Linked DNA regions of Anolis sagrei. The protein of the gene in region 2 purifies or fractionates together with the protein of the main gene of each other region. This does not show direct contact. Links are inferred from orthologs where the notes say so. Each region holds a gene or a part of one and is shown on either strand. Other genes may lie near its edges.

Region 1 (16,418 bases), on a different chromosome or scaffold from region 2:
TGCCCCGCCTTGAGCCATGAGAGGCGGGTAAGAAATAAAATTATTATTAAAGGTAAAGATTTCCCCTTGACATTAAGTCTGACCCTGGAGGGGTGATGCTCATCTCCATTTCTAAGCCAAAGAACCAGTGTTGTCCATAGACATCTCCAAGGCCATGTGGCTGGCATGACTGCATGGAGCATCGTTACCTTCCAGCTGAAGCGGTACCTATTGATCTACTCACATTTGAATGTTTTCGAACTGCTAGGTTGGAAGAAGCTGGGGCTAACAGTGGGAGCTCACCCTGCTCCCTGGATTCAAACCACCGATCTTGCAGTCAGCAAGTTCAGCAGCTCAGCAGTTTATTATCATCCCTAAAATTCCCAATGTCTCAGTAGCGAAGGGGTTCATAGCACTAGTCACATCCTCTGAAGGCCTGCTATTTATGCCATTTTTCCAACATGACCTTCATGTTTAAGCACATGCATAGTCTGAGGTTTTGTGGGAACAGCAGACCCCCCCCCTCCCCCCTCCCCCCTCAAGTGTTGCTGACCCAAAAATACTAGCAATCCTACCCGGCACATCCAATGGGGAGAGAAATGATGCGAGTAACATTCAGCACCATCTGGACATGCAATTCCCACTCTTGCTCAAAGGTTTAGAAATGTGTAGAAAACAGGAATTATGGAGTTATATACTCTTGCTATTTCTGTTCTCAGACTTGGAGATGGCAATCACAAGTAATACATATTTCTATTTCCTGCACTTTGTTACAATACTTAAAGTGGAGTTTGTATAGTGCTCTCACCGTTAGCTACATGAACTGAGCCTCCATCAAGAAAAACCTAACAGGTCTCACTAAAGAGGTGACAGATACATTTTGGACACTCTGAAGAACCACAAAGGCTTTCATGGGCCAAAATATCTAAAGAGCCACTCTAAAGTCTTAATCTCAAATGCAAGCAAGTAGGAAAAACTTGGCTGGGTTTTCAACATTCATTAACTGCCCCAGTTCAAAGCAAATTCAGATACCTTGACTGGACTATCGTTGTAAAGCCAGGCAAGGAAATTAGTTGAGTTCCAGTATGTATCTGGAGCTTCCCATTCTCCATCAGACCAGATGAGATCCGGCTTGTACCTTTAGATGCAGATTAACAAAACCAGAAAATTTACCAATACAATTGTGTCCTAGTTCCTGCTCATTCTGTTGAGATGTGCTAATAGTGACTGGTCTGATTATACTGTTGTAAAACAAAGTGGACAATTTCAGCAGGGCGGGGAAACTTCACATTCTAAGGACTAGACATATCTTGCTAGCTAAATCTGGTGGCATAACATTAAAGATAATAAACCTTTCCTCTTAAAACCAAGCACATGAAGAGTTTATGCTGTTTTCTGAATAGAGTGTTATGCTTTAGAGAAGGGCTTCTTAAACATTTTTCATTCGTGATCCCTTTTGCCCAAGATATTTTTACATGACCTGGGTATATAGGTAAATATGTTTTCTATCTCAAAAACTAGAGCTGATATGGAGAAACTGGCATATACCCAGAAATAGACCCAGAAACAGGACTGACATTTGAGACACCAAAATGTGTGTTGGCTAGTGTAATAAATCAGCATTTGCAAGGCTTGCTATATAGGCCGATTTTCCTTTTTATGGAATATAGTTGAAGCATTTTCTGCAAAGTCCCACTGTAACTAACAGATTTGTGTAAATATCTAGGTAGCATTCAGAAACCTTTTACTACTGCCAAATTTTTGTGATCCCAACTCTGAGCTCAGAGGACCTCATTTGGGGCCAGGATCCTGAGTTTAATAAGCAGTGCTTCAGAGAATTCGATTATTCTTCAAAGCCAGGTACATCTTTCTCATGCACTTGGTTTCAGAGAACAAATAAAAATGTGTTGTTACTCCTAGACCACAATACAGTGACATAACCACACACAGCCTGCATGTTGGTCACCTTTGTTACAAATTTGCTAGTAAAACAAGCCTGTCTTTGCCTCCATCTATGCAGTGGGGTGTTGGGTCTGTGCATCTTGGCAGCCGAGGCACTTAGCAGGTATAGGCCAGTATTAGAGCACCTACAGAACAGAGCTATAGACAGAAGCACAGGATTGTCCCTGGTCTCGCAGATTCTAAGCAGATGTACTTGGCCTTGTTGCACGCAACAGGGTTCACTTCTGATGAAATACATCTAGGAGTCTCTTTCACACTACATAAGCAATTAAAGCACTTGGCTCCACTTCAATTCCTATGGAATCCTGGAATTTGCCGTTTCATGAGGTCTTTAGAATTTTCAGCAAGAGAGCTCTAGCCTTTCACCAAACTACAAGTAACAAAATTTCATAGAAGGGCTTCTGGAAGTTACAGTCTAACACACTTAGAGGGAACCACGTCTAGATAGTATAGGCTAATCTAGGTTTTTCTGATGATGTCTTGCTCTTACCTTAAAACAAGGTCAAAAAGCTCTGGCATAGTCTTCTCAGAGACAAAATACTGTGTCTTGAATTCATTATTTTTGTCCATCAAATAGAGTGGATGAAACCATTCATAGAGGGAGTGGTACAGCCCATAATGTATGTTCCTAAAGATTAGAACAAAAGATCCGCAAGTGATCAGAAAGCTCCTAAGCCCAACCTCTCCACCCCAACCTTTGAACCCACATCCATACCTTTTTCGGAGGGCATCTCCCAGTTCTCCCACCAAGTCTCTATGGGGCCCTGTATCTACCGAGTTCCAGTTCCAAGACACGGGGGAACCCCAGTTGGTGAAGCCTTCGTGATGCTTTGTGGTCAGCACCACATATCTTTAGGCAAAGGAAGATAACAAGTCAGGAAGGAAGAGAACTCAGAGTAAATATACCCACATTTAAGAGATAGCAAAGAAAAAGACAAAGCTTCATCTGCCTTTTAAAACTGTACCATCGGCAGATCAAATTCAGGAAGATACTCCTTACTCTGTCTTAATACATCCGAAGTGCACCCCACCTCTGGGGTTTGGTTACAGGATCCAAGATCCGTGGATGTTCATGTGATCATATACAAATTGTTTACTAAATTGCTGTCTCTTATATAAAATGGCAAGATCAAGGTGGGCTTTTTGGAAATTTTTCAAGTTGCAGCTCATTGAAACTGCGGGTGCAGAATCCTGGGATACAGATGTCTGGCCGTATACTCGTCTATGTATATGTATTTACATGACTCTATTTCACCATTAATTGTAATGCACACCCCAATTTTGAGGTGCACATGACCAAAAATGGATTTGCCAGAGAAGCAAGGAGAAGTGGCACCCTTCTGCCAAGTAGAGGCTGGATAATTTGCCAGTCTTGACTTGGTGGAGAGGGGCAGCACTTATCCTTAGCCTCCCAGCTGAAATAGGCGGAAGGTGGCTTGGGAAGAAGGGAGGGGGATTCCCTTCTCCTTAGCTTCCCAGATTGGAGGCTAAGGACAACAGGACTTGGAAAGGGGTGAGGTGGGAGAAGCGGCACCCCCATCAAACTGGCTGGCGAACTAGGATTGGAAGAGGAGGTGTGGCTTCCTAGCTGGCTTTATTCAGGGTCTGAATGGAGGAAGTTGGGAAGCCATCAGGCGGAGGCTGCCGAGTTCAGTAGCCTCAGCCTGATGGAAAAGCATAGGCATATTTGGGCACATGATTCGAATGTGCCATCAAATGTAAAGTGCATGTCCATTTTGGCTAAGCAATTATACTTCAAAACAGTGGTTCTCAACCTGTTTTGGCCTACAACTCCCAGAAATCCCAGCTAGTTTACCAGCTATTAGGATTTCTGGGAGTTGAAGGCCAAAACATCTGGGGACCCACAGGTTGAGAACCACTGCCTTAAAAGATGTGCATTATATTCGAGTAAATATGGCATATTATGCAGTCTTGTTTGCTGCAATGTTGGAGGATGGGTATCAGCAATACATGTATTAAAAGTAATACTTAAAGGGTTTAACAAATAATAAGCAGAGAGATCTTCAGCCTTCTCTGTCAAAGGGCTTCCTAAGGCCATCAGAAATATGTGTTTTCTAATGGTCTTTGGTTACCCCTCTGAAATCCCCCTCAAGACCCCCAGGTTGAGAAGCACCGGTCTATAGTCTATACGTGGGGCTGCCCTTGAAGACGGCCCGGAAATTCCAACTGGTCCAACGAGCAGCAGCCAGACTACTAACTGGTGTGAATTACAGGTAGCGGTATACCCCCTTGTTTATTTTCCGGTCCCAATTCAAGGTGCAGGTACTTACCTACAAAGCCCTGAAAGGTTTGGGACCTGCCTAACTTTGTGACTGCATTTCCTTTTATGAACCTACACGACCCCTTCGATCTTCCAGAGAGGCCCTTCTCGCGCTCCCACCTCCATCGCAAGTGCGACTTGTGGGGACGAGGGAGAGGGCTTCCTCGGCTCTGGAATTCACTCCCCAGAGAAATTAGGCAAGCCCCCATCCTGGCAGTCTTTAGGAAGAGCTTGAAAACTTGGCTGTTCCAGTGTGCCTTCAAGGAATGATGAACTGAACTATAACCCCTGACCTGACCAAACCTTGCAAAATAATGTCCTCGGAAGCACTTTGTTTTCTACCTACTAGTGCATTTAAACCCTACTTTCGTCCCTCCGATCCCCTGTCCAGATACAATACATTGCCTTCTCATCCAGTGTTTTTAAACTTTTTAATCCTTGCTATCGGCCTTGCCCACTGTGATTTATTTTCTGTGTTTAATTATTGTGATTTTACATTGCTTGATGTTTATTTAGTTTCTTGTATTTTATTTTTTATTTTTATATTTTACTGTTGTTGTAGGTTGTTTATTTGCATTGCTGTATTGCTGGACTTGGCCTCGTGTAAGCCACCCCAAGTCCCCTTGGGGAGATGGTGGCGGGGTATAAATAAAGTTTAATAATAATAATATAGTTTCCTGTATTGTTGAAGGCTTTCATGGCAGAATCACTGGGTTGTTGTAGGTTTTTTCAGGCTATATGGCCATGGTCTAGAGGCATTCTCTCCTGACGTTTCGCCTGCATCTATAGCAAGCATCCTCAGAGGTAGTGAGGTCTGTTGGAACTAGGAAAAAGGGTTTATATAACTGTGGAATGACCAGGGTGGGACCAAAGGACTCTTGTCTGCTGGAGCTAGGTGTGAATGTTTCAACTGACCACCTTGATTAGCATATAATGGCCTGGCAGTGCCTGGAGCAAACTTTTGTTGAGAGGTGATTAGATGTCCTTGTTTGCTTCCTCTCTGTTGTTGTGCTGTTTTAATTTTAGAGTTTTTTTAATACTGATAGCCAGATTTTGTTCATTTTCATGGTTTCCTCCTTTCTGTTGAAATTGTCCACATGCTTGTGGATTTCAATGGCTTCTCCGTGTAGTCTGACATGGTGGTTGTGAGAGTGGTCCAGCATTTCTGTGTTCTCAAATAAAATGCTGTGTCCAGGTTGGTTCATCAGGTGCTCTGCTACTGCTGATTTCTCTGGCTGAAGTAGTCTGCAGTGCCTTTCATGTTCCCTGATTCGTGTTTGGGCAAAGCTGTGTTTGGAGGTCCCTATGTAGACTTGTCCACAGCTGCATGGTATACGGTAGACTCCTGCAGAAGTGATTGCCCCAGGCACTGCCAGGCCATCAAATGCTAATGAAGGTGGTCAGTTGAAACATTCACACCTAGCTCCAGTAGACAAGAGTCCTTTGTCCCACCCTGGTCATTCCACAGATATCTAAACCCTCAAGATTATTAAGATCGTCTGGAGAGGCCCTGCTCTCAGTCCCACCGGCCTCGCAAGCGCGTCTGGTGGGGACGAGGGACAGGGCCTTCTCGGTGGTGGCCCCTCGACTCTGGAACTCTCTTCCACTGGAGATCAGAACCGCCCTGTCTATCCTGACATTTAGGAAACAGGTGAAGACTTGGTTATGGAGACAGGCATTCGACGAGTGAGCCAGATATGGATGGAGGATGATGAATGAGTTAGTGTGACGACTGACCACTGTAGTTATTGAATGTAATTGCTGTTTTAATGTTTTAGTGTAAAATGAATTATTATGTTTTTATTAACTGTATGTGATATTATGGTTGGAAACCGGTCTGAGTCCCTCAAGAGAGGTGAGAAGGCCGGTATATAAAACTTTTAAATAAATAAATAAATACATAAATAATATTTTTCCCCTAGTTTCAACAGACCTCACAACCTCTGAGGATGCTTGCCATAGATGCAGGCGAAACGTCAGGAGAGAATGCCTCTAGACCATGGCCATATAGCCCGAAAAAACCTACAACAACCCAATATAGTTTCCCTTTTTGAGAACCTTTTTATACGCAGCAAGGTTTCTGCTATAACCGAAATTATGTCCACATTACAATGTTTCCGACCTGGCGCCGGCCTGCTGGAAGAGCTGGGCCCAGGCCTCGGGCAGGAAGTCCTGGGCGGTGAAGAGGGGCGCGAAGTCGGCGTAGCTGGTGCCCGGCGGGAAGCGGGCCTTGACGAAGCGCTCGTACTCGGGCCGCCCCTCGCCCCGCCAGTGCCACCAGAACCACTCCGAGCCCCAGGCCGGCACCGAGAAGACGCCCCAGTGCACGAAGACGCCCACCTTCGCCGCGTCGAACCAGCCGGGCAGCGGCCTCGAGTCCAGGCTGGCCCAGTCCGGCGTGTAACGCTGAGGAGATGCCGCCGCGACGGAGAGAAGAGCAACAAACACCGCCCAGGCCGCCATCTTGGATTCCCTCAGAGAGGAACTCGCTTCCGCCATGCGCATTGGCCCGCCGAATCACGTGAGGCAGCCTTCAGGAGACGTCTCGACCAATGGCCAGCCACCTCAGCAGAGTCACGTGCCGACCAATAGTAGCCCCACTCGGCGGAGTCACGTGAGGGGGCATGGCAGCCAGCTGCAAAACTCATAGAATCAAAGAGTTGGAGAGACCTCATGGGCCATCCAGTCCAACCCCGTGCCAAGAAGCAGGAATATTGCATTCAAATAACCCCTGACAGATGGCCATCCAGCCTCTGTTTAAAAACCTCCAAAGAAGGAGCCTCCACCACACTCCAGGGCAGAGAGTTCCACTGCTGAAGGGCTCTCACAGTCAGGAAGTTCTTCCTCATGTTCAGATGGAATCTATAGAATCAAAGAGTTGGAAGAGACCTCATGGGCCATCCAGTCCAACCCCCTGCAAAGAAGCAGGAATATTGCATTCAAAGCACCCATGACAGATGGCCATCTAGCCTCTATTTAAAAACCTCCAAAGAAGGAGCCTCCACCACACTCCAGGGCAGAGAGTTCCACTGCTGAACGGCTCTCACAGTCAAGAAGAGCTTCCTCATGTTCAGATGGAATCTATAGAATCAAAGAGTTGGAAGAGACCTCATGGGCCATCCAGTCCAACCCCCTGCCAAGAAGCAGGAATATTGCATTCAAAGCACCCCCGAAAGATGGCCATCCAGCCTCTGTTGAAAAACCTCCAAAGAAGGAGCCTCCACCACACTCCGGGGCAGAGAGTTCCACTGGTGAACGGCTCTCACAGTCAGGAAGTTCTTCCTCATGTTCAGATGGAATCTCCTCTCTTGTAGTTTCATGGCCGGAATAACTGGGTTGTTGTGAGTTTTCCGGGCTGTATGGCCGTGTTCCAGAAGCATTCTCTCCTGATGTTTCACCTGCATCTCTGGCAGGCATCCTCAGAGGTTGTGAGGTCTGTGTATTGTCGAAGGCTTTCATGGCTGGGATCACTGGTTTTCGGGCTATATGGCCATGGTCTAGAGCAGGGGTCCTCAAACTTTGGCCCGAGGGCTGGATACGGCCCTCCAAGGTCATTTACCCGCCCCTCGCTCAGGTTCAATCTAAGTCTGAAATGACTTGAAAGCACACAACAACAACAATCCTATCTCATCAGCCAAAAGCAGGCCCACACTTCTCATTGAAATACTAATATGTTTATATTTGTTAAAATTGTTCTTCATTTTAATTATTGTATTTTAAGTGTTTTGCACTAGAAATAAGATATGTGCAGTGTGCATAGGAATTCATATATATTTTTCAAATTATAATCCGGCCCTCCAACAGTTTGAGGGACTGTGACCTGGTCCTCTGTTTAAAAAGTTTGAGGACCCCTGGTTTAGAGGCATTCTCTCCTGACGTTTCGCCTGCATTTATGGCAAGCATCCTCAGAGGTAGTGAGAGCTCCGTTGGAAACTAGAAAATGAGGCTTATATATCTGGGTGGGAGAAAGAACTCTTGTTTGCTTGAGGTAGATGAAAGGAAGGCTTTCCCAGAGAGGTGAGGCGAACAAAATTCAAGCAGGCTCTCAGTGACTTTTGTGATTTAATTGGGAAATAAAGTTGCTAGACTAAACTGGACTATTGCAATGCGCTCTACGTGGGGCTGCCTTTGAAAACAGCCCGGAAATTTCAACTGGTGTAACGGGCGGCAGCTAGGCTCCTTACTGGAGCAAACTATAGGGAGCATACAACACTCCTAATAAAACAGCTTCATTGGCTGCCGATAAGTTGCCGAGCCAAATTCAAGGTGCTGGTCATGAATTATAAAGCCCTAAAAAACAGTTCAGGCCCCACCTATCTCCGTGATTGCATCTCCTTCTATGAACCGGCACAAACTCTAAGATCTTCCAGGGAGGCCCTCCTCTCGGTCTACCTCCGTCACAAGCACGGTTGGTGGGGACGAGAGAGAGGGCCTTCTCGGTGGTGGCCCCTCGCCTCTGGAATGCCCTTCCAAGGGAAATAAGACAGGCCCCATCCCTCCCCTCCTTTTGTAAGAACTTGAAAACCTGGTGGTTTCAACAAGCCTTTGTAAATGACAAGCTCTAACTCAGTCTTACACATTGTCGAATACGGCCAATTACCCAGATCACTTCCTCTAATCAGCCCCGGAATGAACAGCCACAGACCCGTACCTAATATTATTGTTGCCTGCTATAGCATTGCACTTAATTTCCGGGGCCCCTAGAATTTTTGGGCTTACACAAATCTCGGCTTGGCCTTGTAAATTTTTTAATTGCCTTGAACAGGCAGGATTACTTTCAATATATGTGTGTTATGGTGACAATTTTTATGCATATATTGTTTGGTTAATCTTATGGTTATGTTGTTTTACTTTGTATGTTTTGTGATGTTACCTAGGAACCGCTCTGAGTCCCCTCGGGGAGATAGAGCGATATATACGTTTTATTATTATTATTATTATTATTATTATTATTATTATTATTATAGAGTAAAAACTAGACTTTTAATATTTAGGTGCTTCTAGTGAAGTAACGCCTGAAATCCCTCTTTTAATAAATAACTATTAAGGATATGGGAACTGCCTCCAGTTTTCAGTCTGACAACCTTATTAGGAAACATACTGCAAGTCTGGGCTGCTGTGAGTTTTTATAGTAATAATAATAATACTTAATTCTTTAACCCGCTCTCTCTCCCATGAAGGGACTGAGGACGCCTTCCAAAGACCAAAATGGCAAGCATTCAATGCCGTGTGCAATGATAAAATCAAAATAAAACAGAAACAAGGAAAGAGCTAAAAGTAAACAATTAAAAATAAGCCAATAAAACAACCTAGGCTAAAACATGTAGTTGATCAACCTCATAAATAACACAACAGGCTGATAAAAGCTGTATAAAATATACAAATATTAAAACGTGTCTTTCCACTAAGTAATATAATCACAGCACCACCCAAGCTGTATGACCTTGTTCCAGAAACATTCTCTCCTGACATTTCGCCCACATCTATGGCAGGCATCCTCAGAGGTTGTGAGGTAAGTAGGCAAACCGCTCCGAGCCTTCGGGGAGTGGCGGTATATAAAATTGATAAATAAATAAATAAAATAAGTGAGGTTTATATATCTGTGGAATTATGTCCAGGGTGGGAAAAAGAACTCTTGTCTGCTTGAGGCAAGTGTGAGTTCTTTCTCCTACTCTGGACATTAGTCCACAGATATATAAATCCCACTTGCGTAGTTTCCAATAGACCTCACAACCTCTCAGGATGCCTGCCATAGATGTGGGTGAAACGTTAGGAGAGAATGCTACTGGAACATGGCCATACAGCCCAGAAAACTCACAGCAACCCAGTGAAAGCTGCTTCTGGGGTACCTTCTTACAGCAACACTAGAATGTCTATTGTATATGTGTGTGTGTGTGTGTGTGTGTGTGTGTGTGTATACACACACACACACACACATACATATCATATTTATTGTATTGTGTTACATGTCCCCACCTCTGGAACTCCCTCCCGGAGTAACAGAAGGTCTCTTATTGTTTTTTGAAAGAGAGCAAGGACCTTCTTATGATCGCAAGCATATAGAGAGGACGATATATAAGATATTTGACAAAAACAAAATGGAATGGAATATGGAAATAGCTGTTACTCTAGCTCAGGGGTCCACAAACTATGGCCCGGGGGCCGGATATGGCCCTCCAAGGTCATTTACCTGGCCCTCGCTCAGGGTCAGCCTGAGTCTGAAACGACTTGAAAGCACACGACAACAATAACAACAATCCTATCTCATCAGCCAAAAGCTGACGAGCACCGGAGCCCCCGGTGGTGCAGTGGGTTAAACCCCTGTGCTGGCAGGACTGAAAACCGACAGGTCGCAGGTTCGAATCCGGGGAGAGGCGGATGAGCTCCCTCTATCAGCTCCAGCTCCTCATGCGGGGACATGAGAGAAGCCTCCCACAAGGATGATAAAAACATCAAATCATCTGGGCGTCCCCTGGGCAACGTCCTTGCAGACAGCCAATTCTCTCACACCAGAAGTGACTTGCAGTTTCTCAAAGTTGCTCCTGAGACACACAAAAAAAGCCAAAAGCAGGCCCACACTTCCCATTGAAATACTAATTTGTTAAACTTGTTCTTCATTTTAATTATTGTATTGTTTTTAAGTGGTTTTTGAACTACAAATAAGATGTGTGCATAGGAATTCATTCATTTTTTTTCAAATTATAATCCGGCCCTCCAACAGTTTGAGGGACTGTGACCTTGCCCTCTGTTTAAAAAGTTTGAGGACCCCTGCTCTAGCTTTTCAATTTGAATGCTTTATAAAACTTTTATTCATGTCAATTTTAAGGCTGGCTTTTAAATAGTTTATTAGTTAAAATGTAATTTTTTAGTTGTGTGATGTCTAATTTGTTGCAATGATTTATCATTGCTCAATGTCGATGTTTAATGTTCTATTATGTATTTGTTTTATGGTAATTTATCTGTTTGTTGTTTACATTTTACAGTACTAAATGTAAACAGGTTGTTAACTGCCCTGAGTCCCCACTGGGGAGATAGGGGGGATAGAAATAGTTATTATTATTATTATTATTATTATTTGTTATATTATATATTTTGATTTTATTTATTTTAAATTAATTACAATGGTTTTTTTTAGTTGTAACCTTTGGAAAACTCAATTAAAATGGGGAAAGGAGAGGAATAGGTATGATGACTATTTAAACAAACCCTCAACCCAATAAAATCAAAACTGTCAAGAGGGAGTTTCAATAGCTTGCAGAGCAACCCCTGTATTCAAGGGGGTCATGATGGGGAACTTAGAACCCCATAGTATAAACACAGTTGTAAATGAAAGCAAATTAATAAGGAGTAAATATTATAAATGGAAAAGGAAAGGGGAAAAAAAAAACCAAGACAGAGGTCCTCTTGGTCAGTCGAAAGGCCGAAGAGGGTGTAGGGTTACAGCCTGTGCTGGATGGGGTTACACTACCCCTGAAGTCACAGGATCGCAGCTTGGGAGTCCTTCTGGATTCATTGTTGAGCTTGGAAACCCAGATTTCGGCGGTGGCCAGGGGGGCTTTTTCACAATTAAAACTTGTGCGCCAGCTGTGCCCGTACCTTGGGAAATCTGACTTGGCCACAGTGGTCCAAGTTCTGGTTATATCCTGTATAGATTACTGCAATACGCTCTACGTGGAGTTGCCTTTGAAGACTGTTCAAAAGCTTCAACTGGTCCAATGAGTGGCAGCCAGGTTGCTCACCTGAGTGGTGTTCAGGAAGCACACAATTCCTCTGTTATGTCAGCTCCACTGGCTGCCAGTCTGCTACCGAGCGTAATTCAGAGTGCTGGCTTTATCCTATAAAGCCCTAAACAGTTCTGGCCCAGTCTACCTGTCCGAATGTATCTCCCCCTACAAACCGGCTCGGAGACTAAGATCATCTGGGATGGCCTGCTCTTGGTTCCACCTTCTTTGCAAGTGTGGCTGGTGGGAACAAGAGACAGGGCCTTCTCAGTGGTGGCCCCTTGATAGTGGAACTCTCTCCCTAATAACATCAGATCAGCCCCTCCCTCCCAGCCTTCAGAAGAAGAGTAAAAACCTGGTTCTGGGAGCAGGCTTTCACAAAATAGAGTAGTGCAGTAATTTTAATGTGGAATATGTGCAATTGATCATAGAACGGCCTTAGACTTTGATCCCTTGATGGTGTGTTTCAACCTTGAATCTATTTTAATCATGTTATTGTGTTAGTAATTTTAATCTAAATTATTTTGTGAATATTGTATGTTTTGAGGTGCCATTTGTAAGCCGCCTTGAGTCCCCCTTGGGGTAGAGAAAGGTGGGATATAAATAAGGTAAATAAATAAATATTCCCATCTGTTCTTCATAATTTATTGTGATATCATATGCAGGAAGAGACGCCTTTGCCCAGATAAATCCAAAGTATCAGGAGGTGATTGCATTACTTAGAAAAGACAGAGGGAAGGAAATACAAAAGCTATTTAGTCCAGTCCCCACCATCCAGGAATGTATAACAGTTTAAAAAAAAAATCAAAGACATAGCCATGTTAATCTGAATATCGGTGTGGAAAGGGATTTTGCAGTACTTTAGGTTTATACTGCCATATAATGCACCTTAAACTGCATTATTGGGCAGTCTAGATCAAGCCTATGACACTGAGAGAAAAATGTTTATAGCGTTAGCATTCATTGACTAAGGCTAGTTCTTCACTGCAGAATTGATGCAGTCTTGCCCCATTTTATCTTCTGTGGCTATGGAATTATGGAAGCTGGAGTTTGGTGAGGCTCCAGCATTCCTTCAGAGAAAGTTAAAGACCCAGTAAAGCTACAACTCCCATGATTCTAGAGCAGGCATGTTCAAACTTTGGCCTTCATGGTGTTTTGGACTTCAACTCCCACAATTCCTAACAGCCTCAGACCCGGAAGGGACCTGAGGCTGTTAGGAATTGTGGAAGTTGAAGTCCAAAACACTGGGAAAGTATTGAGCCATATTTTTTAAAAAAAGATGACGGGGAAGGAGGCAAAGGAAGAAATCCGAAACTACAACTCAATATCCCCTCAGCAGAGCATGAATATACATATGTGAAGATAAGGTACACCAGTACTATGCAACCCTTATGCAAAATAGCAATATTGCACAACATCAATCAATTACTAAGTGCTTTTGTGCACTGTGAAATGGCAATCTGCAATGCGCAATGACACTGAACGGCATTGCCTTATGTACTACCCTGCTTCCATTCCTGTTAGCAGCATATGTTTAAAATTCATTCCATGTCTATATTGTGACTACATGGACGTTTTTCTACCAAGATGCCACCCAGCCATTGTTTTTCCTGGAATCTCCCAGCAGCACCAGTTTGCCATTTTAAAAAGTTTGCAGGGTGCTTCTGAAGGTTCAACATCAAATACTGTAGTACCATTTTATCCAAACCAGAAATTGACTTCTGGCCACTTTCAAAGTATTTCCTCCTCCGTATTCTGGCATTTCTACAATCCATGCAGAGTGTCCGGAGCAACTTCATCTCCAGTTCCACCAGATCGGTAGTAAATATGCTTGGAAGTCTTTTCAAATGGGAAGAGAAAACATCCATTTCTACAATGCTTCCATTTTGTCACCTTCTGAAGCTTGGGTCTTTGTGGAACTGCCGACAAATCTGTCCCCTATGTTTTCGAACGGCAAGGTCTTCTGAGTGCTTTCTGCATCAGGATTGCTATCTGAGATGTCAGTTTTTCTTCTGAAATTGGTGCAAACTTTCCTCAGAGCAGAGCTCAACTCCCTGCTTCGTAGGGCATAGATGGCCGGGTTCACCATGGAGTTGACCAGGCAGAGGGTGCTGCAGAAGGCAAACACTCTCTTCAGGGAGGTATCCATTTTGGCAAAGATGCTGTACGTCATGAGAGCCATGGCAGGGGTCCAGCAGGTGACAAGGACAAGCAGGACAATGGCTAAGGTCTTGGCCAACTTAATGTCTAGCCTCATCTTGCTTTTGGTTTGGCCGTTGGGTCTGTGATGCTTCTCCATGTATGCAACATGTTGCCGGGCTTTCCATAAGACATGTCCGTAGGCATAGATGATGGATACCAGAAGGACCGCCACAAAGCTTGCCCAGCTCAGAAGGTAATTGTTGTCCACAAAAGGAAAGAGCTCGGAGCAAGGAGAGTTGAGTCTGCAGCAGTTCCATCCAAAGAGAGGTAAGGAGGCAAGGAACGCAATGGAGAGCCACAGGACTACCAAAGCCACCAGGGCTCTTTTACTAGTCACCAGGACCTTGTATGTCGAGGGTTTGAGGATACAGATGTATCGATCAAAAGCCATCAGCAAAAGGCTGCCGAGGGAAGCTGTGAAGGTGGTGTTGACGCCTCCTAGCTTGAGTAAAAAGACCACCATGGAGTCGGCCCCTCTGAAAATGTGAAACTGGAGGAAGCTCCAGACGAAGATGAAGCTGGCCAAGGTGTCAGCCAAGGCGAGGCTGCCAAGGAAAAGGTAAGAAGGCTTCCTGTGGATCTTTGGGGAAGAAAAGATGAGGTAGAGTACCAAGGTATTTTCCAATACGCAGAGGGTTCCGGCAGTGCAACACAATGTGGCGATGAGGGCCTGTGATGTGTTGTTGAGCACCAGGTAGCACTCCATAGGCACTATGTTGGAGTGGCATCTCAAGATGTCCCCCGCCGATGTGTTCACCTTGCATTGCTCCATCGTGGTGGACTTAGGCCGTCTTTGGAAAGAGGTTGGCAGTCTTGGCTACAGAGTGATGGGAACTGGAGGAATTTAAATATATATTAATGAGGACAATGTGCAGTACTGAGTATCAATACAATCATATGCTGTACTCCCTTCCAACCCAATCCATCATACCCTTCAACTATTGTCATTTGGCATGGACTGTCCTGACTAATCCTCTGTCATTCCAATTTCTCAGTTGCTTTGAAAATGTTTGTTTTTTTTCCTCCTCACATTTCCCCCCTTAGTTCTTGGTTCATGTCAGTTCAAATCTAAATGTAGCCAATTCACTCTTCAGGGAAGGAAGAATGGCTGCCACTTTTTCTCTTTCCATCCTTGCTGACAGGCTTGCAAGTGATCTATATCATGATTTTCTTTTCTTTTTTCCCTTTTAGGCCAATTTTAGTTTATTTTTGGTGTTTGGGGGTGGAGACTGTGTGTTACGATGACCTTATGGACATAGAAGGGGAAATCACTATCTTTGATCTGAGCTTTGATCTCTTTAGGAGTATAATAGCCAACAGAGTTACCAATAGTAACAGGTGGTATTGTGTCATACTACTATATACGCTGACTGTAGGGAACTATTAGTGGTGGGGAAACAATACAGTATTTATTTATTGTTTCAGGGGCAACCAGACCAACAATACAGTGACTCCATAGAAACAAAAGGTATTCTAATGGGGAAGTGGTTGCTATTTGGCTTCCTGTTTTCACACATTTTTCAAACATTTGTAAAAGGTATTTGGGGAACCTAGGTTAAGAAAACTCATCACCCTTTTAGGGAGCCTACAAGCAGATTAATAGGAACCCACATTCTAAACCTCAGGTGTATACTGTAAAATGAATGTGGGTTGACACTGCTTCAACAGTTGTGGAACAATGCGATGGAAATTGCCATGGTTCAAGTGGTGTCGAACTGTATTCATTCCATAGTTCAGATGCACCATTGATTTAGGGTTCGGAAATCTATGACTTCCTCCAGTCTCTTGTCTCCATTGCTTTTGCTGTTCCAGCTTTCTAATACCTGCTGCAAAGTTTTATTTTACTTCACAAAACTTCCACACCCACTGAGTTGGATGGACTCCACTCTTATAATTTGCATGTTAGCAAATTGGGCTTTGAACACAGGATGCAAGTGTGGAAGTAAGTGTACACTAAATATTAGTTACTTCATTAATTCCTTCTTGTTTGTTGTGAATTGATGGTTTTGGAGGACCAAATCATGTCGATTCTCGACCATCTGTTATGTCTCCCTGAGAAGTAGGTGTAGTCCCTACTTTCACCGTTTCGGGTTTGCCAGGTGTCTTCCAAGTCCCAGTCTTCTTTTAGTTTTAAGAATTTCATTGGAAGGGTGCTTAATTTGTCTCCTTTGGTTTTCTTTTTTGCCTTGCTTTTATCGTAGTTACTATTGATTACTCCATTGAAATCGCCCATTAAAATGATATTGTCTTGTTGTGTTTCATTAATTTTTTCA
Region 2 (16,029 bases):
CAGTATTAGAATTTGGGCGTATTGGATATTTGTGTCCAGTAACTGAAAATACTTCCTGCATATCAGATATTTACCTGACGATTATTTATTTATTTACGGCATTTCTATGCCGCCCTTCTCACCCCGAAGGGGACTCAGAGCGGCTTACAATATATATTTTCATACAATATATTATATTATTAGCATAGTACAATATCAGTATATATTACTATATTGCACTATACCATTATATTGTAATATTATTAGTAATATTACATGTTATGTAAATGTATAATTATAATTATAATATTGAATTATTATTACTAGTATTACATTGTATTACATTATAATATATAAATATTATACGTATATACAATATACTATATTATATTATTAGTAAGACAAGATGGGCCAAAACTAACAAAATGAAGTTCAACAGTGACAAATGCAAGATACTCCACTTTGGCAGAAAAAATGAAATGCAAAGATACAGAATGGGGGACAATGCCTGGCTCGAGAGCAGTACGTGTGAAAAAGATCTTGGAGTCCTCGTGGACAACAAGTTAAACATGAGCCAACAATGTGATGTGGCGGCAAAAAAAGCCAATGGGATTTTGGCCTGCATCAATAGGAGCATAGTGTCTAGATCTAGGGAAGTCATGCTACCCCTCTATTCCGCTTTGGTTGGACCACATCTGGAATATTATGTCCAATTCTGGGCACCACAATTCAAGAGAGATATTGACAAGCTGGAATGTGTCCAGAGGAGGGCAACTAAAATGATCAAGGGTCTGGAGAACAAGCCCTATGAGGAGCGGCTTAAGGAGCTGGGCATGTTTAACCTGAAGAAGAGAAGGCTGAAAGGAGATATGATAGCCATGTATAAATATGTGAGAGGAAGCCACAGGGAGGAGGGAGCAAGCTTGTTTTCTGCTTCCTTGGAGACTAGGACGCGGAACAATGGCTTCAAACTACAAGAGAGGAGATTCCATCTGAACATTAGGAAGAACTTCCTGACTGTGAGAGCCGTTCAGCAGTGGAACTCTCTGCCCCGGAGTGTGGTGGAGGCTCCTTCTTTGGAAGCTTTTAAGCAGAGGCTGGATGGCCATTTGTCAGGGGTGATTTGAATGCAATATTCCTGCTTCTTGGCAGAATGGGGTTGGACTGGATGGCCCATGAGGTCTCTTCCAACTCTTTGATTCTATGATTCTACAACTCCAAATTTCAAGGTCAATGTCCACCAAACCCTTCCAGTATTTTCTGTTGGTCGTGGTAGTTCTGTGTGCCAAGTTTGGTTCAATTCCATCATTGGTGGAGTTCAGCATGCCCTTTGATTGTAGGTTAACTATAAAGTTTGGTCCAGATCCATCATTGTTTGAATCCACAGTGCTCTCTGGATGTAGGTAAACTACAACTCCAAAATTCAAGGTCAATGCCCACCAAACCCTTCCAGTATTTTCTGTTGGTCATGGGAGTTCTGTGTGCCAAGTTTGGTTCAATTCCATCATTGGTGGAGTTCAGAACACTCTTTGATTATAGGTGAACTATAAATCCCAGGAACGACAACTCCCTAATGACAGTAGCAATATGACAGTGATGAAGTATCAACGAAAATAATGTTATGGTTGGGGGTCACCATGCTCCTTGATTGTAGGTTAACTATAAATCCCAGGAACTGCAAATCTCAAATGACAAAATCAATCCTTCCAACCCCACCAGTATTAGAATTTGGGCATATTGGATATTTGTGCCAAATTTGGTCCAGTAACTGAAAATACTTCCTGCATATCAGATATTTACCTGACAATTGCAGGTGAACTATAAATCCCATCAACTACAACTCCCAAGTGACAAAATCAATCCTCCCCACAATACCACCACTAGTCAAATTTGGGTGTATCATGTGCCAAATCTAGTCCTGTGAATCAAAACACATTCTGTATATCATATATTTACATGCCGATTCATAACAGTAGCAAATACTGTTATGAAACAGTGTGATGGTTGGGGGTCACCACAACATGAGGAACTGTATTAAGGGGTCGCAGCATTCAGAAGATTGAGAAACACTGCTTTAAACTATTCTGATGGGAAAGGTTTTTCTTTCCATGTAAAAAATGACAGAGAAGCAAGGCAAACCAAGGCAACCACGACTGCCTGGAGGCAATGGAATAGAAACAGTTAACAAAAAAAAGTGGTGGCAATCCTATGCTTCTCCCATCATAGAGCTGCAGAGATGGGGGGTGGGGAGAGGAGGGGAGAATCCTCTCTGCCTAACTAGAGTCCCTTTTCCTTGCAACTCTTAAAGGAACAGGACCCTTTTGCCTTCCCATGCATGCTGTTTTGGGATTGTTTTTCAATGAGCTCTGTTCCAGTTTCTGCCTTTCGACAACAGGACGTGGTGAGAACATTTCAACACATCATTCTATGGCTATGACAGGGGAGAAAAATAAAAGGGAAGAGGAAGAGACAAAAGCTCCCTCTACTATTGTGTCCCTGTGAGAACTGGATTTTGAAAAATTTGGAAATAAGGATTGGTGATAAAGCTTCAGTGGAGACCCCCACCATAACACTGCACAACCTCTGAGGATGCCTGCCACAGATGCAGGCGAAACATCAAAAGAGAATGCTTCTAGAACATGGCCATACAGACCGGAAAACCTACAACAACCCACTGCATAACTTATTGTATATCTTCTGAGCTGACTTTCTGGAGTGAATTTCCCTTCAGAGGAGTAGATTTCTCTGAGGCCCCTCCTAGACAGGACCTATATAGAACCATAGAATCAAAGAGTTGGGAGAGACCTCATGGGCCATCCAGTCCAAGCCCCTGCCAAGAAACAGGAATATTGCATATCCCAGGATCTGATTCAAGGGGGCCACGCTGTGGCGCAATGGGTGCCAGCTGGACTGCTGACCTGAAAGTTGGGTTGCAACCTGGGTTCGAATACATGAGGCCGGGTGAGCTCCCATCTGTCAGCTCTAGCTTGCAAGGATATGAGAGAATCTTCGAATCATAGAGTTGGAAGAGACCTCATGGGCCATCCAGTCCAACCCCCTCCCAAGAAGCAGGAATATTGCATTCAAAGCACACCTGACAGATGGCCATCTAGCCTCTGTTTAAAAACCTCCAAAGGAGGAGCCTCCACCACACTCCAGGGCAGAGAGTTCCACTGCTGAACAGCTCTCACAGTCATGGGCCATCCAGTCCAACCCCATTCTGCCAAGAAGCAGGAATATTGTATTCAAAGCACCCCTGACAGATGGTCATCTAGCCTCTGTTTAAAAACCTCCAAAGAAGGAGCCCCCACCACACTCCAGGGCAGAGAGTTCCACTGCTGAACAGCTCTCACAGTCATGGGCCATCCAGTCCAACCCCATTCTGCCAAGAAGCAGGAATATTGCATTTAAAGCTCCCGTGACAGATGGCCATCTAGCCTCTGTTTAAAAACCTCCAAAGAAGGAGTCTCCACCACACTCCGGGGCAGAGAGTTCCACTGCTGTACAGCTCTCACAGTCATGGGCCATCCAGTCCAACCCCATTATGCCAAGAAGCAGGAATATTGCATTTAAAGCTCCCCTGACAGATGGCCATCTAGCCTCTGTTTAAAAACCTCCAAAGAATGAGCCTCCACCACACTCCAGGGCAGAGAGTTCCACTGCTGAACAGCTCTCACAGTCATGGGCCATCCGGTCCAACCCCATTCTGCCAAGAAGCAGGAATATTGCATTCAAAGCACCCCTGACAGATGGCCATCTAGCCTCTGTTTAAAAACCTCCAAAGAAGGAGCCTCCACCACACTCCAGGGCAGAGAGTTCCACTGCTGAACGGCTCTCACAGTCAGGAAGTTCTTCCTCATGTTCAGATGGAATATCCTTTCTTGTAGTTTGAAGCCATTGTTTCGCGTCCTAGTCTCCAGGGAAGCAGAAAACAAGCTTGCTCCCTCCTCCCTGTGACTTCCTCTCACATATTTATACATGGGTATCATATCTCCTCTCAGCCTTCTCTTCTTCAGGCTAAACATGCCCAGCTTCTTAAGCCGCTCCTCATAGGGCTTGTTCTCCAGACCTTTTATCATTTTAGTCGCTCTCCTCTGGACACATTCCAGCTTGTCAATATCTCTCTTGAATTGTGGTGCCCAGAATTGGACACAATATTCCAGGTGTGGTCTAACCAAAGCAGAATAGAGCATGGGGAGCATTACTTCCCTAGATCTAGACACTATGCTCCTCTTGATGCAGGCCAAAATCCCATTGGCTTTTTTTGCCGCCACATCACATTGTTGGCTCAACTTGTGGATCAACAGTCCTGCTGGCACAAGAGTTTAACCCAGGGGTCCTCAAACTATGGCCCAGGGGCCGGATACGGCCCTCCAAGGTAATTTACCCAGCCCTCGCTCAGGGTCAACCTAAGTCTGAAACAACTTGAAAACACATTTAATAATGCTATCTCATCAGCTAAAAGCAGGCCCACACTTCCCATTGAAATACTAATAAGCTCTAAAAAAAAAAAAAAAGGTACCATGATACCATGCAATTTTCTGAATCAGTACACCAAATAACCAACCCGAATCTAACATTGACTAAAAACGGATTCGTAGCCCTTTTGGTACTAATGTTGGAGAGTGGCCCTTGGTTAAAATGGTCCTTAGTCAAAAAATGCTTGAGAAACACTGATATCTATATAAATAAAAATGTAGTGTTAGTTTGTGGGATTAACATAATTCAAAAACGGCTGGACGAATTGCGCCCAAATTTGGCCACAAGACACCTACTAACCCAAGGAGTGACCATTACTAAAAAAAAATGAGTTTGTCATTTGGGAGTTGTAGTGGCTGGGATTTATAGTTCATCTACAAAGAGCATTCTGAACTCCACCAATGATGGAATTGAATCAAACATGGCACACAGGACTCCCATTTTTTATTTTTGTCGTGTCAAGAGCAAGTCGCTTCTGGTGTGAGAGAATTGGCCATCTGCAAGGACGTTGCCCAAGGGACGCCTGGATGATTTGATGTTTTTATCATCCTTGTGGGAGGCTTCTCTCATGTCCCCGCATGAGGAGCTGGAGCTGATACAGGGAGCTCATCCGCCTCTCCCTGGATTCGAACCTGCGACCTGTTGGTCTTCAGTCCTGCCGGCACAGGGGTTTGACCCACTGCGCCACCGGGGGCTCCTAAGACTCCCATGACCAACAGAAAACATGAGAAGGGTTTGGTGGGCATTGACCTTGAGTTTGGGAGTTGTAGTACACCTCCATCCAGAGAGCACTGTGGACTCAAACAAGCATGGTTCTGGACCACACTCGGCACAAATACTCCATATGCACAACTAGGAACACAAATGGAGCTTGGGGGAAATAAACCTTGACATTGGGAGTTGTAGTTACTGGGATTTATAGTTCACCTACAACCAAAGAGCAGTCTGAATCACATGAACGATAGAATTGGGGCAAATTTCCTACACAACACCTCTATAACCAATAGAACAGTGGTTCTCAACCTGGGTTCCCCAGATGTTTTTGGTCTACAACTCCCAGAAATCTCAGCCAGTTTACCAGCTGTTAGGATTTCTGGGATTTGAAGGCTAAAAACATCTGGGGAGCCCAGGTTGAGAACCACTGCAATAGAAAATACTTAATGCCATCCAGTCCAACTCCCTTCACTAGGGCAAGAAAACGTAACCAAATAGTGTTTACCCACAAGCAGAAAGAAATTACATATATTAGAAACCAGCACTTTCTCATTACTTTATTTTCCACAGCAACGCCTTGCAGGGAATGGCTAGTAATATAATATATAGATTTGGATGGAGTGACACTTTTAAAATGTAAAGAAATTACATATATTAGAAACCAGCACTTTCTCGTTACTTTATTTTCCACAGCAACGCCTGGCAGGGAATGGCTAATAATCTATATAAATAAAAATGTAATGTTCCTTTGTGGGATTAACAGAACTCAAAAACCACTGGATGAATTGACACCAAATCTGGACACAAGACACCTAACAACCCAATGTATGTCCTTCACTCAAAAAAATTGATTTTGTCATTTGGGAGTTGTAGTTGCTGGGATTTAGAGTTCGCCTGCAATCACAAAGAGCATTCTGAACCCCACCAATGATGGAATTGAACCAAACTTGGCACACAGTTCTCCCATGACCAACAGAAAATACTGGAAGGGTTTGGTGGGCAGTGTCCTTTGGTTTTGGAGTTGTAGTTCACCCACATCCAGAGAGTACTGTGGACTCAAACAATGTTGGATCTGGACCAAACTCTACATGAATACTCAATATGCCCAAATGTGAACACTGGTGGAGTTTGAGGAAAATAGAATCTTGACATTCGGGAGTTGTGGTTGCTGGGATTTATAGTTCACCTACAACCACAGAACATTCTGAATCCCACCAACGATAGAATTGGGCCAAACCTCCCACACAGAACCCCCATGTCGGCCACAGCAACGCGTGGCAGGGGACGGCTTGTAAAATGAAATAAAAATAAAGTAATAAAATAATAAATAACCTTAACTCGAGTATAAGCCAAGGGGGGCTTTTTCAGCCTAAAACAGGGCTGAAAATCTCGGCTTATACTTGAGTATACACAGAACCCCCATGTTGGCCACAGCAACGCGTGGCAGGGGGCGACTAGTATAATATATAGATTTGGATGGAGTTACACTTTTAAAATGTACCCACAAGCATAAAGAAATGACATATATTAGAAACCAACACTTTCTCATTACTTTATTTTCCAGATCACCAGACTGGGCCACAGCAACGCCTGGCAGGGAATGGCTAGTAATATAATATATACATTTGGATGGAGTGACACTTTTAAAATATAAAGAAATAATAATAATAATTATTATTATTATTAAACTTTATTTGTACCCCGCTAGCATCTCCCGAAGGACTCGATGCGGCTTACAAAGGCCAAGGCCTCAACACACAATATAACAATACAAAACGTAAGGCAAATTAAAAACAATTAAAGCAATACAAACAACAAGCAATAAACAATACACTAAGACACAATAAAACTGGGCCGGGCCAGAGTAATGGGTACAGGATTAAAAGTGCTGATGTGACAGGTGGAATATAAGGCTTATAGGGCAAGTGCAGTGTGCGATGTGCAGCAATCTTATGGGACTTGGTATTGGAGATTTCCTAATCTGGGAAGGCACATCGGAACAGCCAGGTCTTCAAGTTCTTTCTAAAGACTGCCAGTGTAGGGGCCTGTCTAAGATCTTTGGGGAGGGCGTTCCAGAGTCGGGGGGCCACCACAGAAAAGGCCCTGTCTCGTGTCCCCACCAACTGCGCTTGTGAAGCAGGCGGGATCACGAGCAGGGCCTCTCCAGATGACTGAAGTGCACGTGTGGGTTCATAGACGGAGATGCGGTCACGCAGGTAGGATGGTCCCAAACCGTTCAGGGCTTTGTAGATAAGCGCCTGCACCTTATTTTGGGCTCGGAAAATAAACGGCAGCCAGTGGAGCTCCTTGAACAGGAGGGTTGACCTCTCTCTGTAAGGGGCCCCAGTTAACATCCTGGCTGCTGCTCGTTGGACCAGTTGGAACTTCCGAGCCGTTTTCAAGGGCAGCCCCACGTAGAGCGCATTGCAGTAGTCCAATCTGGAGGTGGCCAAGGCATGGACCACCCCGGCCAGAAATTACATATATTAGAAACCAACACTTTCTCATTACTTTATTTTCCACAGCAACGCCTGGCAGGGAATGGGTAGTAATATAATATATACATTTGGATGGAGTGATACTTTTAAACTGTAAAGAAATGACATATATTAGAAACCAGCACTTTCTCATTACTTTATTTTCCACAGCAACGCCTGGCAGGGAATGGCAAGTAATATAATATATAGATTTGGATGGAGTGACACTTTTTAAAATGTAGAGAAATGACATATATTAGAAACCAGCACTTTCTCGTTACTTTATTTTCCAGGGAATGACTAGTAATATAATATATACATTTGGATGGAGTGACACTTTTAAAATGTACCTGTTCTGACTTCCATAGGTGTTCAACTTAAGAGCAAGGCTACAGACCCGGTCTCGTTCGTAACTCGGGGACTGCCAGTCCTGCCTTTGGGGGCCTAGAAGAGGCCCCTCGTGGATACTCTTTCTCTCTGCTTACCTGCTCGGTGTTCTCCGTCAAGGTGGGCAAGGGGCTCCGTCCGCTGTTGGACATGGCTGCCTGTGGCAGGGCCTGAGGGGCGGTGGCCCCCCCAGCTGCTGCTGCCTCCTTCCTCTTTCCTGCTTTCTGGCCCAAAGGGAAGGAGCCTGGTCCCTCTTCTTCTTCCTCCTCAAGGCGAGGGGGGAGGCCAAGCCACCAGCATGGGGAACAACCAGGCTCGGTTGGAAAAACACCAGTGTAAGAGTTCCCCCCTTCCCCGGGCTCGAGTGAAGGATGCCCGGCTTGACGTTTCACGCGAGGCCGGGGATGCGGCTCGGGAGCTAGGCCGCACCGGTCCGAAAGCTCCCAACGGAGGGACCCTGTCAACCAAAGTCAATGCCGGGCTGCTGCGAACAACTCCGACGCCCGCCTTGGCCTCCCAGGCCGGGCACGGACTTCCCCTTCCCTTCGCCGCCCCGGTGCCCGAGCTCCACTCACCGCCGCTCTGCTTCACACAGCGGCGGCTCCCAACATGGCCGCCGCCGCCGGGCTTCGGGAAGTTCCGCCGACTTTCCGGAAACGCACGATCCAGGCGGGAAAAGTCCCACGGTGTACGGAAAGAGCCGAAAAGGGATGGACAAAGTTGATTGGTCCACGAAAGGCAGGCGGGGGCGTGGCCAAAGCTTTGGCACTGAAAGAGGGCAACTTCGAGAAAACCTTCCCCAAGCGGTTCGGAAAGGAGGCGGAAATAGCCGAACAGGTTTCGGCTCGCATAATACGGAAATAGCCGAGCGAGTGTACGGAAACAACCGAATGAGTACTATCGAAACTGCCTTCTGGTCCATGAACCTGGGATGCAGGAAACAGGCAGGGATCCTCCGCCCCCTTGTGGCCAGTGACTGACACTGCAGGCGCACAATACGGAAATAGCCGAGCGAGTTGAGCTCAGAGTGTACGGAAACAACCGAATGAATCCTATTGAAGCTGCAGGAAACAGCTTGCCCCCTGGTGGCCAGAAACCGACACTGCAGGAAGGACCAAAACAATAATAATAATAATAATAATAATAATAATAATAATAATAATAATAATAATAATAATAATAATAATAAGGACTGCAATCATAGAATCAAAGAGTTGGAAGAGACCTCATGGGCCATCCAGTCCAACCCCATTCTGTCAAAAAGCAGGAATATTGCATTCAAAGCACCCCCGGCAGATGGCCATCCAGCCTCTGTTTAAAAACTTCCAAAGAAGGAGCCTCCACCACACTCCGGGGCAGAGAGTTCCACTGCTGAACGGCTCTCACAGTCATGGGCCGTCCAGTCCAACCCCATTCTGTCAAAAAGCAGGAATATTGCATTCAAATCACCCCCGACAGATGGCCATCCAGCCTCTGTTTAAAAGCTTCCAAAGAAGGAGCCTCCACCACACTCCGGGGCAGAGAGTTCCACTGCTGAACCCCTATCACAGTCAGGAAGTTCTTTCTCATGTTCAGATGGGATTTCCCATCCAGATAGGCCCAAAATGGGGTTGAAATAGGATCCAATGGGATTTCTAATCCACATAGGAGCAAAACTGGACTCTAATAGGACTGAAATTAGATTTATATCCCAGGTAGAACCAAAATGGGGCTCTAATAGGACTAAAATGGGGTTTCCAATCCAGATATTACCAAACTGGGGCTCTGAAATGGGATTTCTGATCCACAAAGGGCCAAAAATGGGGCCCTCATAGGACTAAGATGTGATTTCTAAACCAAATAGAACCATTTATTATTATTATTATTATTATTATCATCATCATCATCATTATTATTATATGCTTTCTATTATAAGATTTTTTAAATGTTTATTATAATTTTTACATTGTTTTAATGACATCACATGTTGTAAAGCCATCTAGAGTCCCCTTTCGAGTGGAGAAAGTCGAGGTAGAAATGGTGTAAATAAATAAATATTTAGTAGTACTAGCATTTTAATGTATTAGTATTATTTAGATGAGAGACAGGGCCTTCTCAGTGGTGGCCCCTCAGCTGTGGAACTCCCTGCTCAAGGATATTAGATCAGCCCCCTCCCTCCTGGCCTTTTAGAAAAGATCGAAGACCTGACTTTTTGAGAAAGCATTTGGAACTTCAGTGTAAATTCAAATAGGTATATAAACATGGAATGGCTAAGACAATGTAAACAGATGAGAATAGAACCGGAAGATATTGGTTTTATAGATTTATATAGTTTTTATTGCTTTTATGGTTTTATATGTATTTATGATGTAATTTAATTGCTTTTAACTGATATATGTATATATATATATATATATATATATATATACACGTGGCATCTAATTGTGCTGGTTCTATATATTTTTATTATTTATTTTGTTATTTTGATTTATTTATTTATCTTTAAAATTATTTATTATTATAATTAGATTTTTATTTATTTCTATTTCTATTTATTTTATTTATTCTATTATTTATTTATCTTTATCATTTTTATTATTATAATCAGATTTTTATTTATTTCTATTTCTTTTTATTTCTATTATTTATTTTATTATTTTTATTTATTTATCTTTATCATTGTTTACTTTTATTTTATTATTTTTATTTATTTATCTTTATCATTATTTATTATTACAATTAGATTTTTATTTATTTCTATTTCTATTTATTTTATTTATTCTATTATTTATTTATTTATCTTTATCATTTTTATTATTATAATTAGATTTTTATTTATTTCTATTCCTTTTTCTTTTTATTATTTATTTTATTATTTTTATTTATTTATCTTTATCTGTTTATTTTTATTATTTATTTTACTGTTTTCATTTATTTTTTATCTTTATCATTTATTATTATAACCAGATTTTTATTTATTTCTATTTCTATTGATTTTTATTATTTATGATCCTTTGCTGGAGATTATTATAATTAGATTTTCATTTATTTCTATTTCTATTTATTTTATTTATTCTATTATTTATTTATTTATCTTTATCATTATTTATTATTATAATGAGATTTTTAATTATTTCTATTTCTATTGATTTTTATTATTTGTTTTATTATTTTTATTTATTTATCTTAATCATTATTTATTTTTATTATTTATTTATCTTTCTTTATCTTTATAATTATTTATTATAATAATTAGATTTTTATTTATTTATCTTTATAATTATTTATTATTATAATTAGATTTTTTATTTATTTCTATTTATTTTTATTATTTATTTTATTATTTTTATTTATCTTTAACATTATTATTATCAGATTTTTATTTATTTCTATTTCTATTTATTCTTTATTTATCTTTATTTATTTATTTATTTATCTTTATAATTGTTTATTATTATAATTAGATTTTTATTTATTTCTATTTCTATTTATTTTATTATCTTCATTTATTTCTGTTTCTATTTATTATTTATTTTATTACTTTTATTTATTTATCTTTATCATTATTTATTTTATTTTTTATTTTACTATTTTATTTTTTCATTTTTCATTTTTTTATTATTATTATTTTATTTAAAACTGGACTCTAATAGAACTGAAATGGGAATTATAATCCAGATAAACCCAAATGGGGCACTAATCTAATATTATTAATAGATTAATTGTTATTATTAATAATAGATTAATCTATTATTAGAGGAATAGGACAACTGACCTCATCATCCCCAATGAGCTTCTGCATTGCCCTAATGACTGGTCCCTTTGCCTCCCTCCAGTGGACACACTGAATATTACACCCTCTCGATCTCTCCCTTAGAGTTGCCTTTTGCCCAAGGCTCTGCAGATCCAATGTACGGTCCTTTGCTGCCATCGCGTGGCCGAAGTGGAATATTGCACCCTTTTAGTACAGCCGGCTGCAGAGTTCTGTGTAAGACATAGGCTCTTACTCTTTGCTGCCATCCTGTGGTCACTGTTGAACATTACATACTGAAATAGCATTTTATCTTGTTGTTTTTGTTGTTGTTGTTGTTATTATTATTATTATTATTATTATTATTATTATTATTATTATTATTATTATTATTGCTACTACTCTAGCACAATGAACTCCATCAACAACGGACTGGAAAATTATCAGAATGAGATGCATACTTTTCTAATTCTATAGATGCTGACCACTGTGTGCACCATTAAGAGGCTGGATGGCCATCTGTTGGGAGGGCTTTGATTGTGCTTTATATGCATGGCAGAAAAAGAGGTCAGACTGAATGGGCTTTGGGGGTCCCTTCCAACTCTAGGAGTCTATGAGCCTGGATGGCTATCTGTCAGGAGGGCTTTCATTGTGCAGAAAAAGGGGTTGGATTGGATGGCCTTTGGGGGTGCCTTACAACTCTAGGACTCAATGAGGCTGGGTGGTCATCTGTCAGGAGGGCTTCAATGGTGTTTTTCCTGCACTGCAGAAAAAGGGGTCAGACAGGGTGGCCTTTGGGGATCCTAACTCTAGGATTTCTATGAGGCTGGATGGCCATCTATTGGGAGGTCTTTCATTCTGCTTTTCCTGCATGACAGAAAAAGGGGTTGGACTGGATGGCCTTTGGGGGTCCCTCCCAACTCTAGAATTCTATGAGGCTGGGTGGCCATCTGTCGATAGGGCTTTCATTGTGCTTTATATGCATGGCAGAAAAAGGAATTGGACTGTATGGCCTTTGGGGATCCCTTCCAACTCAATGGCCATCTGTTGGGAGGGCATTGGTGGTGCTTTTCCTGCACAGTAGAAAAAAGAGGTCAGACTGGATGGCCTTTGGGGGTCCCTTCCAACTTTAAAACCCTATTAGGCTGGATGGCCATCTGTTGGGAGGGCTTTGATGGTGCTTTCTCTGCATGGCAGGAAAAGGGGTTGGACTGGATGGCCTTTGGGGATCCCTTCCAACTCTAGGATTATAGAGGACTCCTAGTTTGTGACCGTACAATAAAATTCATTGCAATTCATTATAAGGCTGGATGGTCATCTGCCGGGAGGGCTTTGATGGTGCTTTTCCTGCATTGCAGAAAAAGGGGTTGGACTGGATGGCCTTTGAGGGTCCCTCCAAACTCTAGGATTCTATGAGGGTGGATGGCCATCTGTCAGGAGGGCTTTGATGGTGCTTTCCCTACATGGCAGGAAAAGGGGTTAAGGAGCCTCCACCACACTCCGGGGCAGAGAGTTCCACTGCTGAACGGCTCTCACAGTCAGGAAGTTCTTCCTCATGTTCAGATGGAATCTCCTCTCTTGTAGTTTGAAGCCATTGTTCCGCGCCCTAGTCTCCAGGGAAGCAGAAAACAAGCTTGCTCCCTCCTTCTTATGACTTCCTCTCACATGGTTATTATATCTCCTCTCAGCCTTCTCTTCTTCAGGCTAAACATGCCCAGCTCCTTAAGCCACTCCTCATAGGGCTTGTTCTCCAGACCCTTGATCATTTGAGTCGCCCTCCTCTGGACACATTCCACCTTGTCAATGTCTCCCTTGAATTGTGGTGCCCAGAATTGGACACAATATTCCAGATGTGGTCTAACCAAAGCAGAATAGGGCATGGGGAGCATGACTTCCCTAGATCTGGACACTGCTCCTATTGATGCAGGCCAAAATCCCATTGGCTTTTTTTGCCGCCGCATCACATGGTTGGCTCATGTCCACGAGGACTCCAAGATCTTTTTCACACGTACTGCTCTCGAGCCAGGCATTGTCCCCCATTCGGTCTCTTTGCATTTCGTTTTTCCTGCCAAAGTGGAGTATCTTGCATTTGTCCCTGTTGAACTTCATTGTGTTAGTTTTGGCCAATCATCTCTTTAATCTGTCAAGATCGTTTTGAATCCTGCTCCTGTCCTCTGGAGTATTGGCTCTCCCTCCCAATTTGGTGTCCTCTGCAAACTTGATGATCATGCCTTCTCACCCTTCATCTAAGCCTGGCAGAATAGGTTCAAACTGGATGGCCTTTAAATTAGATTTTTATCGAACAGTACCAATGACCTCACAACCTCTGAGGATGCTTGCCATAGATGCAGGCGAAACGTCAGGAGAAATGCCTCTAGAACATGGCTCTATAGCCCGAAAAAACCCACAAGAACCTAGTACCAATTTCTTTGATGATGATGATGATGATGATAGAGTCTCCTTCCCTGGAGATGTCATAGCAGAGGCTGGCTGGCCATCTCTCGGGAGCGCTTTAATGGTGTCTTCCTATCTGGCCAGCACAGCCTTAGAACCAGTCCAGCTCTTAAAATTTCTATAATAATAATAATGATGATGATGATGAGTGAGTCTCCTTCCCTGGCGATGTTCAAGCAGAGGCTGGCTGGCCATCTCTGAAGAGGGCTTTGATGGTGTCTTCCTATCTGGCCAGCACTGCCTTAGGACCAGTCAAACTCTTGAGATTTCTATAATAATAATAATAATAATAATAATAATAATAATGAGGGAGTCTCTTTTCCTGGAGATGTTAAGGCAGAGGCTGGCTGGCCATCTCTCAGGAGGGCTTTGACGGTGTCTTAGGACCAGTCCAACTCTTAAGATTTCTATAATAATGATGACGATGATAATAATGATAATGGTAATAATAATGTTGTTGAGGGAGTCTCTTTCCCTGGAGATGTTAAAGCAGAGGCTGGCCATCTCTCAGGAGGGCTTTGATGGTGTCTTCCTATCTGGCCAGCACTGCCTTAGGACCAGTCCAACTCTTGAGATTTCAATAATAATAATAATAATAATAATGAGAGAGTCTCTTTCCCTGGAGATGTTAAAGCAGAGGCTGGCTGTCCATCTCTCAGGAGGGCTTTGATGGTGTCTTAGGAGCAGTCCAACTCTCTTTCTATAATAATAATAATGAGAGAGTCTCCTTCCCTGGAGATGTTAAAGCAGAGGCTGGCCATCTCTCAGGAGGGTTTTGATGGTGTCTTCCTATCTGGCCACAGCACTGCCTTAGGACCAGTCCAGCTCTTAAGATTTCTATAATAATAATAATATAATAGAGAATAATAGAGAAGACAATTATGCTGGGGAAAGTGGAAGGCAAAAGGAAGAGGGGCTGACCAAGGAGAAGATGGATGGCATCCCTGAAGTGACTGGACTGACCTTGAAGGAGCTGGGGGTGGTGACGGCTGACAGGGTGCTCTGGCGTGGGCTGGTCCATGAGGTCACAAAGAGTCGGAGACGACTGAACGAATGAACAAAATAATAATAATGAGGGAGTCTCTTTCCCTGGAGATGTTAAAGCAGAGGCTGACTGGCCATCTCTCAGGAGGGCTTTGATGGTATCTTAGGACCAGCGCAACTCTTAATATTTCTATAATAATAATGACAATGATAATAATGATAATGGTAATGGTGTGTTGAGGCCTCAGCCTGTGTAAGCTGCATCGAATCCATCGGGAGATGCTAGCGGGGTACAAATAAAGTTTAATAATAATAATAATAATAATAATAATAATAATGTTGATGAGGGAGTCTCTTTCCCTGGAGATGTTAAAGCAGGGGCTGGCCATTTCTCAGGAGGGCTTTGATGGTGTCTTCCTATCTGGCCAGCACTGCCTTAGGACCAGTCCAACTCTTAAGATTTCTATAATAATAATAATAATAATTATTATTATTATAGCAGCAGCAAGAACGAGGGAGCATAGCACAATATTAGTATAATAATAATAATAATAATAATAATGAGGGAGTCTATTTCCCTGGAGATGTTAAAGCAGGGGCTGGCTGGCCATCTCTTTGATGGCTTTGATGGTGTCTTCCTATCTGGCCAGCACTGCCTTAGGACCAGTCCAGCTCTTAAGATTTCTATAATAATAATAATAATAATAATAATAATAATAATAATAATGAGGGAGTCTCTTTCCTTGGAGATATTAAAGCAGAAGCTGGCTGGCCATCTCTCAGGAGGGCTTTGATGGTGTCCTAGGACCAATCCAACTCTTACGA

The links.
Region 1: the proteins of MARK2 (region 2) and FUCA1 purify together in Homo sapiens (affinity purification with mass spectrometry; 3 studies listed by BioGRID and IntAct, counting the BioPlex papers as one, with this or other methods). This does not show direct contact. The link is inferred for Anolis sagrei from reciprocal best matches to the Homo sapiens genes MARK2 and FUCA1.

Annotation. Positions count from the first base shown.
Region 1 is NC_090034.1:79,871,344-79,887,761, forward strand, and holds the start of FUCA1 (tissue alpha-L-fucosidase), read right to left. Parts: upstream 6,732-16,418; 5' UTR 6,728-6,731; coding exon 6,345-6,727; intron 2,792-6,344; coding exon 2,657-2,791; intron 2,570-2,656; coding exon 2,432-2,569; intron 1,118-2,431; coding exon 1,012-1,117; intron 1-1,011. Other genes in the region: CNR2 (cannabinoid receptor 2), read right to left, coding at 13,814-14,917. UniProt on the Homo sapiens protein: Alpha-L-fucosidase is responsible for hydrolyzing the alpha-1,6-linked fucose joined to the reducing-end N-acetylglucosamine of the carbohydrate moieties of glycoproteins.
Region 2 is NC_090032.1:14,864,769-14,880,797, reverse strand, and holds the start of MARK2 (serine/threonine-protein kinase MARK2), read right to left. Parts: upstream 8,686-16,029; 5' UTR 8,189-8,685; coding exon 8,135-8,188; intron 1-8,134. UniProt on the Homo sapiens protein: Serine/threonine-protein kinase. Involved in cell polarity and microtubule dynamics regulation. Phosphorylates CRTC2/TORC2, DCX, HDAC7, KIF13B, MAP2, MAP4 and RAB11FIP2. Phosphorylates the microtubule-associated protein MAPT/TAU.